Linked DNA regions of Elephas maximus indicus. The protein of the gene in region 2 interacts with the protein of the main gene of each other region in a biochemical or structural test. Links are inferred from orthologs where the notes say so. Each region holds a gene or a part of one and is shown on either strand. Other genes may lie near its edges.

Evidence for each region.
Region 1: the proteins of SH2D1B (region 2) and SLAMF1 interact in a test that uses a peptide from one of them, tested with the Homo sapiens proteins (2 studies listed by BioGRID). The link is inferred for Elephas maximus indicus from reciprocal best matches to the Homo sapiens genes SH2D1B and SLAMF1.

What each region holds. Positions count from the first base shown.
Region 1 is NC_064821.1:199,406,450-199,414,032, forward strand, and holds the start of SLAMF1 (signaling lymphocytic activation molecule), read right to left. Parts: upstream 3,169-7,583; 5' UTR 3,064-3,168; coding exon 2,988-3,063; intron 2,520-2,987; exon of another isoform or gene 2,352-2,519; intron 1-2,351.
Region 2 is NC_064821.1:201,677,182-201,684,751, reverse strand, and holds the start of SH2D1B (SH2 domain-containing protein 1B), read left to right. Parts: upstream 1-4,393; 5' UTR 4,394-4,465; coding exon 4,466-4,599; intron 4,600-7,570. UniProt on the Homo sapiens protein: Cytoplasmic adapter regulating receptors of the signaling lymphocytic activation molecule (SLAM) family such as CD84, SLAMF1, LY9 and CD244. In SLAM signaling seems to cooperate with SH2D1A/SAP.

The DNA.
Region 1 (7,583 bases), about 2.3 Mb from region 2:
ATAACTAAGACATACCCCTAAGAGGTATAGTGTGGGGAAAAATTATGAGGACCCTTCTCTTCACTTCCCAGTGAGGAGATGGAAGTACTGGAGCCATGCAGCCTAGATTTCATTTACCATTCCCTCTGAACGCTCACAAAACTTTACCTCTGCATTTGTGCCTTCATCTAGAATACTATTTTTTCAAATACCACAAAAATTCAACCCAATAGACATATATATTTGGAAGGACACACAAGAACCTGGTAACAGTGTATGCCTTCAGGAAGAGGGATGGGAGGGAGAGTAAGTCTTTACTTCACACCTTTTTGAATTGTTTAGGTTTTACAGATATTTGTGTGATACTCTCCCAATAAATAAACCACTTAACAGAAAATTTAAGTGAAAAATTGCATGACAAAAAAAGTTTCTATCCACTTTCCGAATTCCAGATCAAATCCTTCTAAATTTTATCCAAGTCTCTCATATTTTAAAAATTCTATGGCATGTTCCATATACTTCAATTATAGTAGTATATTCTAATTTTTACTAAGGGATATAGGTACAGATTGAAGCCTCCCTTCACCAAATATAAACTCATTCAGTTTCCTTCGTTGAGACAGTAGTCTCTGGAGTCAAGCTATGTGACAGTGGAGAAATCACTAGACCCACTCTGGGCCTCTTTTTTTATTTATAAAATGTTAATGCTAGTAGTCACAGTACATATCCTATAGGGTTGGTGTAAGAATTAAATGAATAATACACATAAAGAAGTTGAAGCAGTGCCTGGCATACAGTAAGCATGCAATACATGCTACTATTTTCATTCAACAAATATTTATGGAAAAACTCTCAGGACCAGGCACTGTGTCAAGTGCTGGGCAGAGGTTGTGGTTGTTTGCTTTATTTCTCCCACACCTTACATCATGTGTCCTCAATAGATAGTGGCTGAATGGAATCATTCAAATTATTTTGTGGATGAAACCAAATAGCCCCGATGTTCTGATTTCTAGCCAAGAGCTGGAGATGCCAAAAGTGATGGCTTCATATTACCGTATGCAACTTTCAAGAGATGGAAGCACTAAGTCTACGTCTTGGGATAGAATGGGTCAGTGAACAGACAAATTTGGGCCAAGTATAGCACCCACCTACTTGTCCCTCACCTCTCCCCTAGTGTGTGTGAAGAGGCTGGGGAAGGCATGCCTGAAAAAATAAAAGAGCTCCCTGGGTGAAATGGAAAACCCACTTATTTGGGGATGGGTCAGTAGACTTTTTAATTTTTAGAATTCTGCCTGGAAGGTGAGCTGAGTTGAGATGGGAAGGAGAGTGGGTATGGATTTTACAAGAAATCAGTCTTCTTGGTTGAGTAAATCTGTCATGGCTGACCTATCTCATGTGCAAAGCATTTCCGCCTGGGTTTTATTGGGGTTTCACAAAATGGTGTGTATTTAAAAATAAAAATACTGAAAAAAATTTTGTACATATTTCGGAGAAGACAGAATGCAAAGAAGGGAGTAGCTGCTAATTGGGTGGAGGCTCCTATCAGGCTGGGCTGTTTTCTCACTAACCATTGACTCCCAAAGTGCGCAGTGAAGCAGCTGTCAGCAGAACCTGGAGGTGCCATGGGCTAGACTGATCAGGAGCCAAACAAGCCCAGAGATGAAAAAGCCCAGGCAACACTTCAACCCAGTCACTCCTGGTAGTCACCAACAAGTACTCCAAGAAAGATGGTCCACCAAGGAAGACTTGGCTCTCCTATGACAACTTTAAGTGGCTCATTTTGGCTTTCTGAGTCCTGAGTTCCATTCTTCCTCTCCTAGGCCTCAGGAAGTAAGAGCCTTGGGGTCTGCCTGATTCTGAGGTAAAGTGAGGCATAGCAAAGGCTCAGGCACCCTCTGGGCCTCCTCATCTGGGAGTCTGGCAAGAGAGAGTCCACATCCGCAGCTCCCACACATCCCTGGCATATCCCGGGGCTTTTCCTAGAAAAGTCCATGATGGATTTGCCATCTTGAAAACCCCAAGGCCAAAACACCCTGGGTGTCAGGATTTCCCCCCTTCCCTGATGCCGCTTCTACTCCAGGTTGTCTCCTACACTCTAACCAAAGCCCCAAGGCATTTAAGCAGAAAGGAATTGATGCTCACCCCCTACTCACACAGCCAGCCCAAGGTGCACTTCTAGCTTCACTTTTTCCCCCTCAAGTACCGTTTCTCATAACCCTGATAATACTGAATGGAGAACCCTAGCTTACCTTTGGAGGAAGACAGGCAAAAGACAAGAGCAGGACCCAGCTCCAAATGCTCTGCTATTTATATGGTCCAGCTGCTGGAGCTGCACTGACCCTGAAGGCTCCAGATTTGCATTTCCCACTTACCATAATTAGCCCTGGGCTCCAGAAATCCTGGCTTCTCCCCTCCTTTCTACCATGGAAACTTCTCTTCTAGGAAATAGCCATCAGTGACCACACTGTGGCCACAGTCTGTTCTTAGCTGAAGACCTGAGGTTTTCACTTCTACCTCTCCTTCCCGCTCTGACCCCCTCCTTCTTGTTGGACCATGTTCCTGGTTTGTCTGCTAGTGTGTGTGCAGCATCTCCTTCAGGGCAGAGATATAGGATTAATCTCTCAGAGCTTTGCCCCTCCAGCTTAGTTTCTCTAGCCTGGGTCTTTGCCAGAATGGTAACCCATGCAAAACCAACCACTCAACCAAGATTTCAACCAGAACCTCTCGCCCGGAAAGGCTGGTCTACAATGTGACCAGTACCTTTGGATTAGAGCTCCCAGTTTCCCTGGGAACTAGGATTGGTGAGGCTGAGCCTTAGTAGGAGCCCAGGAACTCATAATGTTCCTTCCTTCCTTTTTCAAAGATGCTGGAGAACTCAGAGCCAGTCCCTAAGGAAGAGAGAGCCGGCCACAGCCCCCAGCCCCTGCATCTTTTCTCTATCCACAGGGCTGTGCTGATTCCTAGCAGGTCATCATAGTATCCAAAACCTCAAACAGATGAACACTCACCTGTTCCGCAGCTCAGCTCAGAAGCCAGAGAAAGCAATAGCAGGAGGTTCAACGAGAGGAGCCCCTTGGGATCCATCAGTCAGGAAGGAGAGAAAAGGGAGCTTGCCAGGAGTCCGGCAGCTGCTTACAGACACACCAGGGCAGAAGATCTACATGTCAGACAGCGCTGCCTCTGCCAGCAAGGCTATGCAGCAGCTTCCTGTCTCAGAGGGACTTTTTCTGCCTGTGTATTGAGGATTGCTCATCTCTCTTTAGACTTTAAATCACTTTGTTGTTCTCAAGAAGTACGAGTCAGGCGCTTAGACTACTGGAGCCAGGAAGGGGGCTATGCCGAGTCATCTCAACCAAACCCCAGCTTTTGGTAGAAATATACACCCCTTGCATTTTCTTAGCTGTTTCTTGGAAAGTGGTGTCACAGTTCTCTGGGAAGTTCTATCTGCTAACTTTTCTTTGAGTGCAAAGAAAGTCTTCTTTGTGCTCAGGTCTATAGTGAATGTGGGGTTTTGTCAGACCCATTTCCAAATTTGGATGAGTTAGTTCAAAGTCCAACTTGGATGGCTGAACTTGGATGAGCGTGGGACCCTTACTTCTCATTTGCCCCATAATTTTGCAGAACAACTCTAAATGTAGGTACCTGGTGCCACAGTCAGGAGTCACTGGGTGGTGCAAATAGTTAAGTGGTCAGCTACTAACCATAAGACTGATGATTCAAATCCACCCATAGGCACCTCAAAAGAAAGGCCTGGCCATCTGCTTCTGAAAGGTCACAGCCTTGGAAATCCTGTAGACTGCAGTTCTACTCTGAAACACATGGGGTCACCACGAGTTGGAAGCGACTTGACAGCAATTGGTTTAGTTGTTTTTTTTTTTTTTTTTGGTTTTGGTGCCACAATCACAGGTGGGCAAGTGCGGATCACTTGGCAAAAACTCATCTTCTCTGCTGGGTACAATGTGGTAAATCTTAGTGAGCTCCAAGCTGTGGTTGAAGGAGTCACCTTTATTTTAGAACTTGTGTCTGCTGAGGAGAGGGGGCTAGAATTGCCAGAAGAAAGACCCTGTGCTTTTTCATGAGTCAAGCTGTAAGAGTGGGACAAAGGAAGGTTCTACTCCCAGTGCTCACGAAGAAGGCCTTGTAAGGCAAGGCTAGTGTTTCAGAAAAGTTGATTTCAATAGGGCAGAGACACTTTCTGATAGGCCTCTAAGGGGTCCAGGTGATAAGAGCTGATGATATTGTGAACTTGCTATTTATCCTGTTTTCTCCCTTCTATCTCCCAGTACCCAACCATCCCCTACCACGCCACTACCCAGTGGTGTGCTGGAGCCAGCATTACCGACTAATGAGGTACAATTGCTAAATTTTCAGGAATCTGTGAGCTGGTTGGTAAAAAATGGTCATTATCAAAAATTAAATTATATAAACTTGTGGTTAAATAAATTATATTAAAAATAAAGGGAATAAAAACTCAAAATTATTTTGTTGTTTTTAGGTGCCATCGAGTTGGTTCTGACTTCAAGTGACCCTATGTATAACAAAATGAAACCTTGCCCAGTCCTGTGCCATTCTCACAATCATTGCTATGTTTGAGCCCACTGTTGTAGCTACTGTGTCAGTCTATATCATTGAGGGTCTTCCTCTTTTTTGCTAACCCTCTACCCTACCAAGCATGATGTCTTTCTCCAGGGACTGGTCCCTCCTGATAACATCTCCAAAGTACATGAGATGAAATCCCACCACCCTCCCTTCCAAGGAGAACTCTGGCTGTACTTCTTCGCAGCCATACTTGTTTGTTCTTCTGGTAGTTCATGGCATATTCAATATTCTTGCCAACACCATAATTCAAAGGCATCAATTCTTCTTCAGTCTTCATTATTCACTGTCCAGCTTTCCCACTCATACGAGGAGATTGAAAATATCAAGGCTTGGATCAGAAACACCGTAGTGCTCAGAGTGACATCTTTGTTTTTCAACACTTTGAAGAGGTCTTTTGCAACAGATTTGCCCAATGCAATACATTGTTTGACTTCTTGACTCCTGCTTCCATGGGCATTGATTGTGGATTCCAGTAAAATGAAACCCTTGACAACTTCAATATTTCTTCCATTTGTCATGATGTTGCTTCTTGGTCCAGTTGTGAGGTTTTTTTGTTTTCTTTATGTTGAGGCATAATCCATATTGAAAGCTGTATTCTCTGATCTTCATCAGTAAGTGCTTCAAGTCCTCTTCACTTTTAGCAAGCAAGGTTGTGTCATCTGTATATTGCAGGTTGTTAATAAGTCTTCCACCAATTCTGATGCTACATTCTTCTTCGTTAACCCAGATTTTACTATTATCTATGCCCCTGAGGTTATTTACACCTATCACGGTGCAAATACTATGCCATGGGTGCTGTTGGACCTCTCTCCCCAACTGCACATTCTAAGGCATCATGTTGGTAGCTTGAACTCAGCTGGTGGGAGTGTTTATGAAGCATGTTACTGCAACACTGGAAGCTTTGCCACCGGTACTTCAAATATCAGCAGGTCCACCCTTTAGTGCACAGGTTTCAGCAGAGCTTCCAGACTAAGACAGGCTGGGAAGAAGGACCTGGCAGTCTATTTCTGAAAGAATTGGCCAGAGAAAACCTTATGAATAGCAGCAAAACACTGTCTGATATAGTGCCAGGAGATGAGCCCCTCAGGTTGGAAGGCACTCAAAAGATGACTGGGAAAGAGCTGTGTCCTCAAAGTAGAGTCAATCTTAAGGATGTAGATGGAGTCAAGCTTTCAGAACCTTCTTTTGCTGATGTGGTATGACTCAAAATGAGAAGGAACAACTGCAAACGTCCATTAATAATTGGAACATGGAATGTAGAAAGTATGAATCTAGGAAAATTGGAAGTCATCAAAAATGGAACACATAAACATTGATATCCTAGGCATTAGTGAGCTGAAATGGACTGGTATTGGCCATTTTGAGTTAGACAATCATATGGTCTGCTATGATGGGAATGAAAATTGAAGAGAAATGGCATCACATTCATTGTCAAAAAGAGCATTTCAAGATCTATCCTGAAGTATAACGCTGACATTGATAGGATAATATCCATACGCCTCCAAGGAAGATCAGTTAATATGACTATTATTCAAATTTACCCACCAACCACCAATGCCAAAGATGAGGAAATTGAAGATTTTTACCAATTTCTGTAGTCTGAAGTTGATCAAACATGCAGTTAAGATGCATTGATAATTACTGGTGATAGGAATGTGAAAATTGGAAGCAAAGAAGGATCAGTAATTGAAAACATGGTCTAGGTGCTAGAAATGACGCCAGAGATGACACAATAGAATTTTGCAAGACCAACAACTTCTTCATTGCAAATACCTTTTTTCAACAACATAAACAGAAACTGTACACATGAATCTCACTGGGTGTGTCATGGATTGAATTGTGTCCCCCCCAAATATCTGTCAACTTGGCTAGGCCATAATTCCAAGTATTGTGTGATTGTCTACCATTTTGTCATCTGATGTGATTTTCCTGTATGTTGTAAATCCTACCTCTATGATGTTAATGAAGCAGGATTAGAGGCAGTTATGTTAATGACGCAGGGTTCAATCTACAAGGTTATGTTGCATCTTAAGTCAATCTCTTTTAAGATAAAAAAGAGGGAAGCAAGCGGGGGCAAGGGGGACCTCATTAGGACCAAGCAAGAAGAGGCAGAAGTGAGCGTCCTTTGGACCCTGGGTCCCTGTGCTGAAAAGCTTCTAGACCAGGGGAAGATTAGTGACAAGGACGTTCCTCCAGAGCCAACAGAGAGAAAAAGCCCTCTCCTGGAGCTGGCGCCCTGAATTCAGACTTCTATCCTGCTAGATCGTGAGAGAATAAATCTCTGTTAAAGCCATTCACTTGTGGCATTTCTGTTACGGCAGCACTAGATAACCAAGGCAGGATGGAAAACACAGGTATCAAATAGACTACACCTGTGGAAAGACACGATGGAGAATCTCAATATCATCAGTCAGAACGAGGCCAGGGACTGAATATGCAACAGATCATCAATTGCTCATACGCAAGTTCCAGTTGAAGCTGAAGAAAATTAAAACAGGTTCTTGAGCACCAAAATGCTACCTCGAGTATATCTCACAGGAATTTGGAGACCATCTCAAGAACAGATTTGAAGCATTGAACACTAATGACTGAGGACCAGACGAGTTGTGGGAAGATATCAAGGACATGATAAGTAAAGAAAGCATAAGGTCATTAAAAAGACATGAAAGAAAAGAAATGGATATGAGAAGAGACTCTGAAACTTGCGCTTAACATAGAGTAGCTAAAGCAGATGAAAGAAATGATGAAGTAAAAGAGCTGAACAGAAGATTTCAAAGGGCAGCTCAAGAAGACAAAGTAAAATATTACAATGAAATGTGCAAAGACCTGGAGTTAGAAAACTAAAAGGGAAGAACATGCTCATCATTTCTCGAGCTGAAAGAACTGAAGAGAAAATTCAAGTCTCGAGCTGCAATTTGGAAAGTTTCTATGGGCAAAATATTAAACAATGCAGGAAGCATCAAAAGCAGATAGAAGGAATACACAGTAACTGTAACAAAAAGAAC
Region 2 (7,570 bases):
TGCTCCTTTGTAATTTAATATTTTCCCCACAGAATCCTTCACTATTGCAACTTGAGGCTTGGATTTTTTTCTTCAGTTCTTTCAGCCTGAGAAACGCCGAGCATGTTCTTCCCATTTGGTTTTCTATCTCCAACTCTTTGCACATGGCATTATAATACTTTGTCTTCTCGAGCCACCCTTTGAAATCTTCTGTTCAGTTATTTTACTTCATCATTTCTTCCTTTTGCTTTAGCTGCTCGATGTTCGTGAGCAAGTTTCAGAGTCTCCTCTGACATCCATCTTGGTCTTTTCTTTATTTATATCTGTATACCCCCCCAACCTTAATCAGGATTCTGCTATAAATTCCTTGATCAAAATGTTCAGTAATGGTAGCTGAGCACCATCCAGTTCTTCTGGTTTCATGGCAAAGGAGGCAGTTGTTCTTGGGGGCAATTAGCCACACATTCCATATCTTCCTCCTAATCCTGACTGTCCTCCTTTCTCTGTTGCTCCACATGAATAGAGACCAATAGAACTATCTATATGGAATCAGACAGAACTATCTATATGGGATCAAATTGATAACAGCAACTGGAAAGATTAAATAGGAATCTTAGGAGTCCGTGAATTTACATTAATGAGGGAGGAACAATTCAGAAAAGGAGGGTGAGAATGGTTGCACAACTGGAAGAATGTAATCAGTGTCATTGAATTGTACATGTAGAAACTGTTGAATTGGTGTGTATTTTGCTGTGTATGTTCTCAACAATAACAACAAAATAAATAAAATTTAAAAAGATACTACCTTTTGCATAAGTCATTTTGTGCTGCTTCTGCCTGTATAATTTTGTGACAGATTTCTAGAACTGAGATTGTTCATGTGAATGTACATGTAACTTTTCCAAGCTCCCTTTGCTGGCGTTGTAATCACTTTGTAGTCTAACCAAAGATCTATGAGAGATCCTATTTCACTATAGCATAAGCAACCCCGTCTGTTGTTAAACTTCTGATTTTCATTAATGGATAGATGAGAGATGTTATCTCGATATGGATTTAATTTTCCATTTCTTTTAATATGAGTGCATATAAGGGTACTGGGTTTTGAAATAGGAAAAAAGTAAGCAAAGCCCTGGGATGACCAAGAGCCTGAGCATGCACCCAATTATTTCCTACCAAGGAGTTTCTGGGTGATGCAAATGGTTAATGCGCTCAGCTCCTAACTGAAAAGTTGGAAGTTCAAGTCCACCCACAGGTGCCTGGGAAGAAAAGCCTGGTGATTTACTCCCAAAAACAAATCAGCCGTTGAAAATCCTATAGAGCACAATTCTACTCTGACACACATGGGGTTGCCATGAGTTGGAATCAATTTGATGGCAGTGGGTTTGTTTTGTTATGTCAAAAAGCATCCTTACAGCAAGCTTGGTACCCAATTTTGTCTTCCAACAGTAATAATTCTATCCTCAATTGCTATAATTCCTCTGGAATTAAGTTAAGACTTGCCCAAGACCACACAAGTAACAAGAAGATAAACTTGGATTTGAAAGCCTATCTCTCTGATATCAGGTTCCCTGGTTAGTGAAACTCCACTACACCAACAGCAGAACAGTGAGGTTTCCAAGGAAGAACAAAGATCTGCAACAAGGACGTTTCCTGGAAGGACAGCTAGTAGGCAGAAGAGCAAGATGAAATAACTTTCTGGAAAGTGACTTCACTAGGATTGGTGTCATCCAGTGTGGTAACTCATAAAGTCACCCGGCTGGGGTGCGGAGGGCGGATGTCAAACCTCCCCAGCTCCCAGTGGGTGGAGGGGCCCAGTCCCACCCCGCCCCGATGCAGGGCCAAGTTCTGAGCTGCCTGGCCCTGCCCCTTCCAGTCCTGCAGCCCCACAGCTCCCTGCAAATCTCTTCCTTTCTCTCACTGGTCAAGGCAGAGACCCTGACTGGCAGTTGAGGTGGGGGGTAGTGCTGAGTTACCACAGTGGGGGATGGGTGACACCATCTCTACTGATGCCATGCCTTGGCAGCCTCTCTCCGGTCTGCCTGCCGCTGCCACCACCATGGACCCTGCGGTCGTTTGTTGTCAGCCCCTCTGATAGTATCTGGGTCAAGACTACACAGAGCTCTTGAGAAGGAGAAATAAGGATGAGTCATGAGCACATGTTTATAGATATGTACTTGAGATATATAGTGATTCCCACAGATATTTGGTGAGGCAGCTGGATAAAGGGAAAATGATTCACTTAAACAGTAGTTTATACAGATGGACATCATGTGATGGTAACTGTGAGAGCTAAGTAAATGCAATCAAATTAAAAAATTGGATTATAGGTATGATTGCATGGCTTATTTTATCTGAAATTAATGCTACATCAGGTGGTCTGGTTGCGCAAAGAGGCTTTGGGAATTACTCTCAGGGCTAACTCTCACTCTCAGAAAACAAAAGCCATGTGACTACCTGCCTTTCCCAAGAGTATCCACTGATCAAGATGGAAAAGTCTCAGCAGCCTAAAAAAAAAAAAAAAAAGGATTTTCTCATCAGCACTACGTGCCCTGGTCTAAACGGGGTGTCTCTGGCTGGATAGTTTTTTTTTTTTTTGGTCTTTCTTCATGGGGACAGATCACTGCTGTCCCCCAGAATGGGAACTCCATAGGAACTGGGGGTTTCCAAACCCAAGCCCAATATCTTCTTTTCTTCCACCTGGAAGAAGCATTCCTGCGGTAAGTTTTCGTACCCAGTTATCCCTTCCACTTGTACCAGTCACTCCCCCAAAAGGCACAATGCCTGAGGATGTTAAAAATAGCCTTTTTCCCTCGGTGGCTAGGAGCCTTAGTCACGAAATGGACTGTCCTTCCCAGTGGTGTCCAGTTGATTTCTCTTCGCATTGATGTCTTCTATTTTTCATGTAATTTGACCCATGGAAATGTCATCCTTTCAATTTTCCCATTGTGTCTGGACAAATCTGAATTCATTCAGCATTCAAATACCTTTAAAAAAATTTCTTTTATTGTGCTTTAAGTGAAAGTTTACAGTTGAAGTTAGTTTCTCATACAAAAATTTATACACACATTGTTATGTGACCCTAGTTGCTCTCCCTATAATATGATAGAACACTCCTTCTTTCCACACCAGGTTTCCTGTGTCCATTCAACCAGCTTCTGTCCCCTTTGGCCTTATTATCTCACCTCCAGACAGGAGCTGCCCATTTAGTCTCATGTGTCTACTTGAGCTAAGAAGCACTCTCTTCATGAGTATTATTTTATGTCTTATAGTCCAGTCTATTCTTTGTCTGAAGAGTTGGCTTTGGGAATGGTTTCAGTTCTGGATTAACAGAGAGTCCAGGGTCCATGTCTTCTTCCAGAGTCCCTCTAGTCTCAGTCAGACCATTAAGTCTGGTCTTCTTAATAGAATTTGAGTTGTGCACCCCACTTTTCTCCTGCTCTGTCAGAGACTCTCTGTTGTGTTCCCTGTCAGGGCAGTCATTGGTGGTAGCCAGGCACCATCTAGTTCTTCTGGTCTCAGCCGATGGAGTCTCCGGTTTATGTGGCCCCTTTTGTCTCTTGGGCTAATATTTTCCTTGTGTTTTTTGTGTTTTTCATTCTCCTTTGCTCCAGGTGGGTCAGGACCAATTGACCTATCTTAGGCAGCCGCTCCCTAGCTTTTAAGTCTCTAGATGCCAGTCACCAAAATAGGATGCAGAACATTTTCTTAATAACCTTTGTTATGCCAATTGACCTAGATGTCCTCTGAAACCATGGTCCCCCAGACCCCTGTCCCTGCTACTCTGTCCCTCAAAGTGTTTGGTTGTGTTCAGGAAACTTCTCAGCTTTTGGTTTAGTCCGGTTGTGCTAACTTCCCCTGTATTGTGTATTGTCCTTCCTTTCACCTAAAATAATTCTTATCTACTATCTAACTCATGAATACCTTTCACCCTCCCTCTCCTTCCTCCCCACCCTCATAACAGCATCCAAATACTTTTTGAGCACCCATTCTGGGCTAAGCATGGCTAATCATAGGTAGCTTCAGCAGAAAATGGGCAGCTGTTATAGCAAAAGCGGTGGTGCTCTCTCAGGAGAGGATCCTAGCAGCCAGAGGAGGCAAAGCCTAGCAATATAGGGTGATACACAAGGCTGCAGCCCAGTTCTGGGAAGCTTAACTTCAGCATTGCAGCCCCAGCCATTGAACATCACTGTTTCCACTATGTGCTAGAAAGTGTTCCCATCCGATTCTATGAGTCAAAGAAACTTACACTCAAGCCTTTTATATACTGAAATGGCTTGGTCACTTCATCACCCCCGCCCCTCTCACTTCCTGAAGCTGGCTGAGTCTCACAGAGAAACTTCATCTCACTCCCACTGGCCAGAAAAGGAAGAAGTGTTTCCATAGTTACGTCAGGCCAGCTGCCTCCACTTCCCTCCTTAGAGCTGGCCCTCGAATTGGGGCTGGATTTCAGGCCGACAAGGTGGCCTGTGATACGACGGGGCTCTCCATGGATCTACCTTACTACCACGGCCCCTTGACCAAGAGAGACTGTGAGATCTTGCTGCTCAGGGAAGGAGTAGATGGCAACTTTCTGTTGAGGGACAGCGAGTCGGTGCCAGGAGCGCTGTGCCTCTGTGTCTCGTGAGTAACCTTACAGTCAAATACTACATCAAATGTAGTGATGGCAACCAAATATAAAAGGAATTGCATTTCACTCTGACTTTGCAACCCAAATGAGTCGAGTGAGGACTGGGAGAGGTTGGAAAGAAGGCGTCTGTCCCTGCTCTTCCATCTGCCCTCTCTCTCCCTGATGTAAATGCCACCTAAGCAGAGCCTCTGGGTGAAGGAGAGGGCTGCAGGAAGCATGGGAGGTGAGGGGGAGTGGGGAGAAGGTAGAAAAGTGAGAAAGATTCTCTTCTCTAGAAGTCTGTTTATTTGGTATGGAATAGGTTGGGCACCCTTTTGAGATTTCAATCTGAGAGACCAAGTTTTTACATGTATTCTGCTGCCTCTACTTGGAATACTTAAATTATAATAATATTTCACAATTTTTATTCAGATTAGTAAAGGACTTCAACAAGTGTCATTTCCTTGTACACTTCTTGTGTACATAAGCGGCCACCATTTTGTATGTAAGGAAACAGAGACCTGAATGTCTCAAATGACTTGCTTGTGTTAAAACTCATCTGGTGTTTCCAAAAAGTTTGAATTGAGTAAGGAATTCCAGCCCAGGGTATCAGAGCTACCTTGCTGAGGGAACTTGTTTATGCTCAGTTTAAAAAAGCAATCCCAAACAGTTATCAGTAGACACCTCCTATCTTTGTGTGCTCTTCTCTTTGTAGAGTCCACTGACACTTTTCTTCTATTAAAGGAATTAAAACCCAGGTGTCTCTATGGGAGCTACTCAGAAAAAAGTGATTGTCATTACTGTCTTGACAACAAGGAGTTTTTGGATTTCTCCTCACTTATCGACTATCTTGTTATCTGACATTTTGCATTTATGACAACAGGAAAAAATCGACTATCCTACTATTTTACCCATTAACAACGTATGTTGGGTAGTAATAATGCTGGAGTGTGAGGCAAGAGTAATGCTGGCTTTTATGGTTAAGGTTATGTGTCCGCTTGACTGGGCCATGATACTCAGTGGGTTGGCAGTTATATAATGACGTAATCTGGCAGTTATGTTGTGATGTAATCATTCTCGATTTTGCCATCGGATGTGGACATCCTCCTTTTTCGTGTAACACTGATTTCACATAATGACCTGGTCTTTGGAACCTAACCATGTCGATAAGAAAGGAGAGGGTGTATTAACAGATAGAATCCAGTAGCCCATTAAAGGAGAAAACACACTATGACCAAGTGTGGTCCAATCCATCAAAGATGAATTGATTCCATATTAGGAAAATGATGCATCTAATTAAGGTGCCACAGTGGCACAGTGGTTAAAACACTTGGCTCCTAACTGAAAGTTCAGTGGTTTGAACTCACCAGCTGCTCCACAGGAGAAATATGTGGCAGTATGGTTCTATAAAGATATACAGCCTTGGAAATTCTACGAGGCAGTTCTGCTATGGCCTATAGTGTCATTATGAGTCAGAATCAACTCCACAGCAGTGGGTCAGGTCAAGTCATGCATTTAATTAATTTGAGTTATTGATTAATTATTAACTTAATTGATTAAATTAAACATATTGACATGAATAGGTCAATAGTTACAAATGATATGACTCACTCAAATTTGCTTAAAATGTATTAGATAAAATTCAGATTAAACATCCTATTTACATTAGCAAAAATAGTAACATGCAGGAATAAATGTACTATGACATGTGTAAGACTGACTTAAATATCTACTGGGAAGCTTACAAAAAATCTTGAATGAATGGAAGGTCTCAAGTTTGGAAGCTTGTCTGTTCACCTTAAATTAATCTAAAATATTCCATATGTTTCCAGGAGAAAAGACAGATTTTTTTAAAAATTTGCTGCAAGGACAGTGAAGTTGACCTAGGTTAGGGGTAGAACATGGAACCTGCTGGAATAGCCAAAGATTCTTTAATTTAAAAAAGAAAGACTAGCTCTACCAAATATTAAAATATTAATACATTATAAAACTATAGTAATTACTACAGAAATTGAAAGAGTTTGGTACTGACAGATCAATAAAATAGAATATAGAATCCAGAAACAAGGTCAAGTACACATGGAATTTAGCATTTGCTAAAAAGAGTGTTTCGAATCAAAGAGGAAAAGATGAATGATGACTAATGGGCACTTGACTAGTCACTTAGAAAAAAGTAAACCTAGATCCCTTAAAATGAAATTAATTCAAAATGGTTCTAATACTTAACTTATTTTTTAAAAAATGAAATCACAAATATTAAAACACAAATTATTAAAAAAAAAAAAGTCCTGGAATTGAGAAAGCCTTTCTAAGCAAAAAAATGAGATGCAGAAACCATAAAAGAATGACAAACGTGACCATAGTAAAAAAAAAAAAAACTTAAAAGACTATTGACAAAAAAAATAATAATTTTTATTAACATATAAAGAACTTTAAAAAAATCAATAGAAAAATAGAAAGCATACGAGCAGGAGATTCTCAGAAAAGAAAGATATGGAAAAATGCTACAGCTCACTCATAATTAAAGAAATACAAGTTAAAACAACACCAAAAAAAAAAAAAAATCCAAACCCATTGCCGTAGAGTCGATTCCGACTCATAGAGTACCTATAGGACAGAGTAGAACTGCCCCACAGGGTTTCCAAGGAGTAGCTGGTGAATTTGAACTGCTGATGTTTTGGTTAGCACCTGAGTTCTTAACCACTGCACCACCAGGCCCCTAAGAATAGTAAGATGCCATTTTTTCCTATTCAATGGACAAGAATTCAAACTGTGAAAATGCCTAGAGGAATTAGAGTGTTGGGAAACAGTCTTGCACACTTTGATACAACCTGTTTGAATCATAAAAAAACTCATTGCCATCGAGTCGATTGTGACTCATGGTGACCCAATAGGACAAAGTAGAAAAGCCGTGAAGTGACTGGTGGGTTCAAAATGCTGACCTTTAGGTTAGCAGCTCAGCACTTAACCATTGCACCGCCAGGC